3 linked regions of the Solanum lycopersicum genome follow. The main gene of each other region encodes a partner of the protein of the gene in region 2 in a complex. Links are inferred from orthologs where the notes say so. Each region holds a gene or a part of one and is shown on either strand. Other genes may lie near its edges. The genes, in order: protein TIC 20-v, chloroplastic; protein TIC110, chloroplastic; protein TIC 20-II, chloroplastic.

The links.
Region 1: protein TIC110, chloroplastic (region 2) and protein TIC 20-v, chloroplastic share a complex: the UniProt entries of both Arabidopsis thaliana proteins name them as parts of the tic complex. The link is inferred for Solanum lycopersicum from reciprocal best matches to the Arabidopsis thaliana genes TIC110 and Tic20-V.
Region 3: protein TIC110, chloroplastic (region 2) and protein TIC 20-II, chloroplastic share a complex: the UniProt entries of both Arabidopsis thaliana proteins name them as parts of the tic complex. The link is inferred for Solanum lycopersicum from reciprocal best matches to the Arabidopsis thaliana genes TIC110 and Tic20-II.

The regions. Positions count from the first base shown.
Region 1 is NC_090811.1:6,212,337-6,215,375, forward strand, and holds protein TIC 20-v, chloroplastic, read left to right. Parts: upstream 1-1,528; 5' UTR 1,529-1,604; coding exon 1,605-2,198; 3' UTR 2,199-2,415; downstream 2,416-3,039. UniProt on the Arabidopsis thaliana protein: May be involved in protein precursor import into chloroplasts. Not redundant with TIC20-I, TIC20-II or TIC20-IV.
Region 2 is NC_090808.1:26,796,348-26,800,011, forward strand, and holds part of protein TIC110, chloroplastic, read left to right. Parts: intron 1-2,837; coding exon 2,838-3,054; intron 3,055-3,664. UniProt on the Arabidopsis thaliana protein: Involved in protein precursor import into chloroplasts. Forms a voltage-dependent cation-selective channel at the inner envelope of chloroplasts, which specifically responds to a transit peptide.
Region 3 is NC_090810.1:3,715,758-3,718,399, forward strand, and holds protein TIC 20-II, chloroplastic, read right to left. Parts: upstream 1,351-2,642; 5' UTR 1,314-1,350; coding exon 699-1,313; 3' UTR 626-698; downstream 1-625. UniProt on the Arabidopsis thaliana protein: May be involved in protein precursor import into chloroplasts. Not redundant with TIC20-I, TIC20-IV or TIC20-V.

The sequences.
Region 1 (3,039 bases), on a different chromosome or scaffold from region 2:
TAGGAATGAATTGGATCCAGAATTTGTTAAGAGTGTTGATTTACCAAGTAGAAGAAAAAGTAAAAAGGTAAGATTTGATCCTGATTGTGTTGTAGCAATTTTTGAGCTTGGTATGGTATTTGAAAGTGTATACATAATTTTGTTCATTTCTTACTCTACTATATAAAGTCTCATTTTAAGATATTTCTATGCAGCTGGTACTTCAGGAGAAAAAATTATCAATTTGAGAGTTTATAAGGATGCAGCTCCAACAAATATTGATATTGGTTATAAGCCTCGAGGACTCAAGTGGAATGGTGGAGATGCTGTCACTGGTTCACAGTTGAAACAAATCACTTATTCAAGAAAAAACAAGCGTGGAACATCTAGTGCACCAAAGAATGCCTAATTTATGTAGAAAAATCACTTTTTGGTTGTGTAATTAGCAGCAGAAATTTGTATTGACTGCTTGAAACTTGAAGCTCACTAGAGCAAATTAATGGCATGAATGATCAATTTTTACTGCTTTTGAGGCATAAATTATCTACACTCCTTCAATTAAATCATTACAATAAAAACACAAGGCATTTACAATAGAAAAATCGATCAAAATTGTCCACAAAGAACTCTACAATCTACCATACATACTTTTATGAAGGAATCTAATTGAAGACAAATGAACCAACTAAGATCATTTTGTTACACAAATCCAAGTAGCCAATATCATCCCTACGATAATGCATATCATCCATATTTTTCTTGATCGATTCCTCTCCAATTCATATGTTTTGACTATTTTCGACAAACCCCATATCACCCTCCTAGCTTGAGCAGGCATTTCATCATCATACCATCGAAAATATCCACATCCACCTCGTGCCTACAAAATTAAAGAAAAAAATTGAATTATAAATAAGGTGATTCTTTACTATATTGGACAAAAAAAAGTGAATTTGATTTACCTTTGAAGTTTTGCAACAAAGGAATATACGTCCAGGATTGGATTGCGTCCATGAGATCTTCATTTTCACAACGTTCCCATATTGACATAGTACTTTCGCAGTTAAAGAAGAAGAAATCGATGAAGTAGATAAATTTGACATTGAAACTTGATGATTAAAAAGAAATCAATGAAAAAGAGATATAATATAATGAGCTAAAGAGGAGAAATAATGATGAAGAGAAACAAAAGAGGAGAAATAAGGGAAGAATGGGAGAAATTAGGATTAAAAGGGGGAAGAAAATCGTTGGTGGATGGTTCAAGATCCACATCAGCGCTTTTAAAGCGTCTGCACACGCTTAAAGGACGTGAGATCACGTTTGGCTCCACATTAGCCAAGAATATTTAAAAAGATCAAATTATAGGGGGTTAAAAGATTCAATAGGAATCTAGATTAGTTGAGGTAACTGGGAAAAACACGAACAACTTTAAAGACTTGCGTATGTATTTGACCCGTAGACATTTTTCCTCCAAAATGGATATGGAATTATGGATATTCAAATGGTATCAATGTAGCCCGACCCGCAATTCCATCAGGATTTTCAATTGACTGCTGACCTAATCCAATTTCCCCTTTTTCATTCTTTCTCCCCCCCAAAACAAATATCTTTGGCCATCCTCAACAATGGCCATCACCAATCTTTTATCCACCACCATTACACTCAAACACTCGCCATTTCTTCTACTGAAACCCTCAACAAAACTCAGAAACCCTAAAAGGCCAACAATTCGAGCTCAATCTAAGAACGACGACTCAGTAGATGGTCCAGATCGTTTAATCTCCGCCATAACTTACTTCTACCCTTTCTTTGATGGTGTTCAGTACGGTAAATATGTAATCACACAGTTTGCTCCAATACAAACACTTATTCAACCTTTAGTACCAGCTATAAGGGTTTTTAAGAGCTTTCCGCTTAACGGGTTGTTGGTTTTCTTTACACTCTACTTTATTGTTGTAAGAAATCCTAATTTTAGTAGATATGTCAGGTTCAACACTATGCAAGCTATTGTTCTTGATGTGCTTCTCATTTTTCCTGATTTGTTGGAGAGGAGTTTCAATCCAAGTGATGGGTTTGGGTTGGATTTGATGATGAGCTTTGATAGTACTGTGTTTTTGTTTCTTTTGGTATCTTTGGTTTATGGTACTTCGTCTTGCTTGTTGGGTCAGCTACCTAGATTGCCTATTGTTGCTGAAGCTGCTGATAGGCAAGTGCTATGAACTCGTAATTTTACTTGTTTATGAGGTTTCATCCTCTTTGTACACTTAATTATGTTTTGCTTTAGCTGACAATTAATATCTATTTCGTTCCGAAAGTAAATGTTTATGCTCTTTAGAGCCTTGTTCATGCATATCATTTTGCTGTTTCTTAATGTGGATATGTATATTCTTGTAATGGCATTTCGGTTTCTTTAATCAAGTAACTACTTTTTTTCTATGTATCTGCATTAACAAAAATATATAGAGGTATTTCTTTTTTATAACCGTAATGTCCTGGCGTACACCTCAACTATTTCATGGAATATCTTAACTGGAATTGTTCCAAGTGACTCTGCCCACTACAACTTAGGCAAATAGAAGATCTTATTGCCTCTGCATAGATTTGCACTTTCGTGTTGTGTAGTTTCGTTCCAGCTTCATGGACTTTGATGGCTTGCCATTGAGTGCCACAAAGGTGGTGATATTATCTACAAGTTCTGTCATTTTTTGATATGAAGATAGTTCAATCCCTATTTCTAGGTAACATGTTAGTTACATCACCATTCTTTTTTTTGGTTTTTGGATGAGGTAACATGTTACATCATCGGTATGTTGGTGTTTAAGGAAGAAATTCATGATCCTAGTAGCCAGTTGTATCATGATTTTAAGTAAGGGTCTCGTTTTGTATTATCTTGAAAAGGGCAAGTATGCAGAGATACACGGAAGTTAGGTATCAGGTTTTGATGTTATTCTTTGAGACAATTCGGATAATGTCCTCCACCCCAACCTAGAGCTTTCGCTAATTACAGAGACTTTGATGATTTACGTAAAGGTATTGGCATCTAGTATACACCTTCTTTAT
Region 2 (3,664 bases):
TTCTCTTTCTCTGTTTTGAATTCCCAACCCTTCTCTCAGTGAAGGATCTCCAACCCGAAATGAATAAGAAAGAAGGTATTTATAGGAGGAAATAGGGCAGACTTGGGGGGAAACATATGAGGGTAGAATCGGGCTAAAAAAGAAGGGCCAAAATTTGAATTTCCAAATGGAAATCTATCCAGAGCAAAAGCATATTCCCAATGATTCTTGCAATTTCAACAGATTGAAGGCGAGATTGAGGGGTAAGATCAACCCATCGTCCTTCGAATGCTACGTGGCTCGATCTTGAGGCCACAAGGACGAATTTGCAGCTGGAATCGGCGCTGGAACTGTACTAAGCGTACTGTATGTTGAGGGAAAGGAAGAAGATGACAAGAAAATAATACTGGGTACCGTTGTACGCGTCTGTCGATTGACACCATGTAATCCCCGTCTGTTGGCTGTGAAGACGTTAATAATTCGCTGTCTTGCTACCGTGTACTATTCCGTTTGGCTTGACGCCTTATAGTTGGTGCTTTCGATGGGATTAGAAGGGAAAAGGGAATTGGGTTGGGTCAAAAGGAGTGGGCTGGGATTTCTGGGTTTTGAAATTGATAACATGGGGGTGAGGATTTAGAAAGGATGAGAATTGTTGTTGGAAAAGGGGAATAAATGAATAGGGTCATTTTGAGTATTGGGCTGCAAAATAAAGGCCCTAAAGAGTGACAAAGCTATATTAAATAACTTGAAAAATATTTTGAATTTTACAAAGTTGGTTATTTCAAATAGTTTGGAATTTAAGAAAATCGAAAGTCAATTCCTATCATGGAGGGTCAAAATTAGGTGTCAACAAACGCAACATAACATCTAGGTGACATTCCTTTCTAAGAGTAGCCCTTGACCATCTCACGTGCAGTCAGTACATTATCTAAGATGTTTCTACCCTGGATGAAAGCTGACAAAGGACTAACAATATAGTCCACTACAGTTTTTAGTTTTGGCAGTCAGTATCTTGGCTATAAGCTTATACAGGGTAGTGCAACAATCTATTGGCATTTACTACATATGATGGTGCAGTTACCTTAGGCACAAGTGTGACTGTGGTTGTGTTTACACCTTTTAACTATTTACAATTTTCAAAGAACCGTTTCCTCCCCCTTATTATTTCTCAGAAGTTTTTTAAAATTCTGCAATATAACCATCAATACATGGGCTCTTGTTCACTGGCTTGTCCTTCAAGGCTTTCACCACATCCTGAGTAATCACGGGTTGCAGTAGCTGTTGTTGTTGTTCAACTGTAAGGCAGGGGTCATCTCGAGCTGTGCATGAGTATACAAGGCATGGTTGATGCATCTGGCCCCAACAAAGTTTGAAAGAACGGGAGAAACTCCTGTTGTATCTGTTCTGGATCAGTCAGCTTAGTCCCCTGTTCTGTGTAAATAGAGGATATTTTGTTCGTTGCTCGCCTAGCTTTCAGGTGGACAGATAAGTACTTGTAGTTCCTTCTGCATTAATACCCTTTCGTAAAGACTTCCCCATTTCTCAAAGGTCTGCACTGGTTTCCTCTCTCCATTGATCAAGTCTTGGTTGAGGAGGTGTGTTGCCATTTCAACCTGCCCCTCCTCCATTTCCTCCTGCACTTTCTGGAGTCTTTGCCTCAATTGGATCAATTTCTTTTCTTTTGTCGAAAATTTCCTGGCCTACCTGAAGATGGAGTAAGCTGAAGATCCGTCATATCTGGGCTAATCACTTCTTCCCAGTACTTCAGCCTACCTCTGCCTTTCCTCGTCCCCACTATATCCAACCTCACACATCTCCTCACTGAGGCACTTGTACATCTCCTCTTCACATGCCCAAACCATCTCAGCTTCCCTTCCCTCATCCCACACACCCATCTCAACATTCTCATTTTCGCCACTTGCATTTTCTGTACATGAGAGTTCGACTAGCCAACACTTTCCCCTTACAATAACGCCAGTCTGACCACTACTCTATAGAACTTTTACCTTTAAGTTTCAGTGGTACATTCTTATCGCACAAGACAACGGACGCAAGCCTCCTCTGCATCTATATTCCACCGATACGATGTGTGACATCATCGTTGATATCCCCATTTCCTTGGATCAGAGACCCAAGATACTTAAATCTCTGTTTGGGACAACTTGCATATCAAGTCTCACTTTTATGGCTGCCTCATGCGTCACATCACCCTTTGAACTATTGTGATCTTAAACATGCCATATCATTCCTAAAAATGGAGTGTCATTAAGGGTATAACTGTAATATTGAAATTTAGAACTTATGAAATATAGAAGCAATTTTCTTTTTCATATAGACTAAAAAAAAGAGTAAAACATGTATAAATGAAACAGAGAAATTAACTGATGTGGAGTAATTCAACCTTGTGGAATCTTGGTTTCTGGGTGAAGGCTGGTATAACTACAGATAACAATATCTGGTAATGCGATAATAGAATTCGTTGAATAGCTGCAAGCAGATCAGTTTATGTTCTTCTAAGGCTCTTTGCTTGCAAACCAGTCTATGTTCTTCATTATCACATTAAGGATTACCTTTAGCTTGTTTGGGGGAACAGATTTCTTATTGATGATGAGATGGTTTGTGGGTCTGTTTGGTCTTTAGACCGATACACTCGTAAGGTTTGATCATATGAATCCTTTCCTTTTTAATGAATATGCTCAATTGTTTTGCTTCCTAATGAGTTTTCACTTATGTTACATGCCATGGAATCATCCAGATGCTATAGTATTCTCTTGCATCTTTTCTCGAGGCCATTTGATTTGTTATTCTGTTTATCTTTAGTTATATCCTCTTAACCACAACTTTTCTTCCTCTTTTAGCTTGCTGCTTTGAACCAATTGAGAAATATATTTGGTTTGGGGAAACGAGAAGCAGATACAATCACATTGGATGTAACCTCAAAGGTATACCGTAAACGACTAGCTCAAGCTGTTACCAGTGGTGAATTAGAAGCGTTCGAAAGCAAAGCAGCCTATCTTCAAAACCTTTGTGAAGAATTAATTTTTGATCCACAAAAGGCTCTTGAGATTCATCAAGGTAATACGTGATGACAATGTGATTCGTTTTCTAATGTATTTTGAGTGACATTTCATACTTAATTGTTTTATCTGGAGAGGGAAGACATGGAAGTAGTCGAGTTTTCAGTTGCACACGAGGGAGTGCTAACAAGAACCTGTTGAGAATATCTGCTTGTTTTAGTTGGTTCCTCAGAGAGGAACAATACAAGTGAGGTTTTCAAGTACAAAATAACGACTCCAAATTTTGTTTTCTTCTGTATTACTAAAACCTCATCCTCTAGCAGTTCTTGAAATTTGAGGTTTTTTCGTTTTAAGCGTAGTTGCATAGAGTTGTTAGTTGCTCTCCTTTTGATAAACCCAGCAATTAGCTTTGCCATGAAGCTGGAGTGACAATAGGAGTGTTGTTTATAGCACCTTCAATGTCATCAGTTTGCTTATTGGCTAATAGTAATTTGATTTTATAATTGAACTTCCTAAAGCTAGTTCTGTTGGGTTGAGCTCCCTGAGGTCTCAGATTCAGTTGCCAGCAGAGACAAAACGTAAGGTGATTTTTCCATCTGTTCTAGCTTTGGTGGACAGAGTTACTTGGTAGCCATTGCTGGTGGGAGGTGTCTAGTATCCATAGAGTT
Region 3 (2,642 bases), on a different chromosome or scaffold from region 2:
TTGGCGCGATTAAAGGTTTTACACTTGCAAGAGTCGTTCAATTAGAGCTCCCTAATTTGCTTCACCAGAAGAATGAATGATCCTATGGTTACATTGAGATGGTTTTCAGGTTATGAAGCCCTATCGTTTTTCTGGTCAATGATAGTATTCTGGTTTTGGCCTTGCATGATGAACAAAATGTAGTTTTATTATTCTTTGTTGAAGTTCAACCCTTTAACAATGTAACTTACGACAACAGAAACAACATAGTCAGCGTAATCCCACAAGTGGGATCTGAGGAGGACAATGTATGATATGCATGTAGACCAAACCTTGAAAAGTGTTGATATAAGCAAAGGAATTATATTCTCTATTCAACAAAAGCCATTGATATTCCTTAGAGATCGTTTGATAGCTGATAAAGAAACAATGTATTATTGAAAACCCATTATTACTAGTACATTTACGAGTTGTTCGGTGTGAAGTATAACGTGTAATGATTCCATTACAAAATCAAGATATTATTATTTATCCCAAGAAGTTACTTTATCAAGATTTGAACTTTACGAGCCCTTTCCATTGCATCTCTCATGGAGAAACATCTCATCGACGATTCGATTTAAAATATCATACATTAAAATTACAATTCTATGCAACAAAAACCTTCCTTTCATTAGAGAAAACCACAAAACAACATATTAAATAAATTTTAAAAAGAACTACATTTGCCTATTAGCAGCTTCAGTAACAAAAGGCAAATAAGGAGTTTTTCCAAGTATAGAAGAAACAAGCCCATAAATAAAACAGCCCACAACAAACACAAAAAGCCCATTATGCATCCAAACCGTAAATTTCAGCCCAATACCCGATTGACCCGGTGAAAATATCCTCTGAATCAACATCGGAAGCACCAGTAGAACGTCGAGCACCACCGCTTGCAGGGCGTTGAACCGGGGGTACTTGTTCAGATTCTCGTTCCGAACAATACCTAAGTAGAGTGCAAAGAAAGTGACAAAGCTAGCGTATGGGAGGGACCGGTAGAGTGATAGAAGAGGGAGAATTGGTTGAAATGGAAGAGCTAGGGTTGGGTATTGAGCGAAGAGGAAACGGCCGTATTGAAGGCCGTTGAAGAAGGGGAGAAAGTAAGCGACGGCGGAGATAAGGCGGTCGGTGGCGGGGATTGGGTTGTAAGAGGCGGAGATGGAAGTGGTGGGTTTGGTATGGATACGGGTTCGGGTTTGAATACGGGTTTGGAGTAAATTGAGGCTGAGAGGGTGGGGGAGAAGACGAGGGGTAGTAGTGGGAGTGAAACGGAGAAGAGGAATGGAAGCCATTTTTAGGGGAAATGTGAGGTTTTTTTTGGGTGTTTATAAAGATGGATTTTTGTTGTTTGAGGTACAAGTTGTAATGCATTATTTTGATTAAAAAATTAGAAAAAAAATAATTTCCGTTGCCGGGACTTGAACCCGGGTCTCTCGGGTGAGAGCCGAGTATCCTAACCAACTAGACTACAACGGATTATTGATTGATCAACGAGTAATTTTCAATATAGCTCGTTGTGCGTCGCCACCTCTCAAATATCATATAGGTTCAATTAAGATTGTGTGAAGTTCTTTGTCAGTTGGTTGTTATGTTATGTGTTGCCACCTCTCATCTGTACATTCGATTAAAGTTGTTGTGAAGTTCAGGATTAATCAATTGATTGTTGTGTGTTGCCATCTCTAACTTATCGTACACATTTAAGTTATAGTTGAGGTACATAGGGTCTTATCGTCTATCCGTTCAGTTAGGGCTACATATCGAACACTTCGGCTTTGAAGTTTATCGATTTGACTTATTAGTTATCGATTTGTAGATATGCTAAACGGTTGTAGAACCATTAAGATTAGCTTATCAGTTATTGATCGTTCGGTTCGATAATTTATTTAACCGTTAAGTTTGACAAAAAAACACATTGAAAATCACTTTAGAACAAGGTGGCAAACCAATTTAACCATGCACATGAATTCACAAGTTTCATCTTGCTCAAAAGCAAACACTTTTACATCGTAGAATAACCAAGTGTTTGAGACAATCAGAAACAAAAGTAGGAAACCAAACTCTAAATTAAGGACTTTATAAGCAAAATGATATGAATATAATTATTTAATTAACCATCGGATTATCAGTTATCCAGTTAAGAGATAACCTCAAAAGATAACCCGATAACAAAAAAAAAATCAAAGCCGTTCTCAAAACCGCTAAACCAATAACTTTTTTTCGATACGGAATATCGGTTCCGATCAATTTTGAACAACCCTACATTCGCTACACCGCATCTTTGCAGAGAACTCAGTTTCACTAAGTTCATGTCAAAGAGAAAGGGACCATCGCTACATTATTCCGAGTAGCTCATTATTTATGAGACAAAAATAAGATTTTGAGGAGGATGGTGTATACACAACCTTGCCCGTACCTTGCGAAGAAAGTTTGAAGCATGTCGTCACAAAATGAGAGCAAAAACAACACTGTGGAAATTCCAAATCTACTACAATGCAACTTGAAGTGACTATTCTCACATGAAAACATTTGGGTGGCAGTATACAAAACTGTAGTCAGGACTAGCTTACACTATATTGCCATAATGTAGGTCAATAATTTGAAAAAAGATATATCAACATATC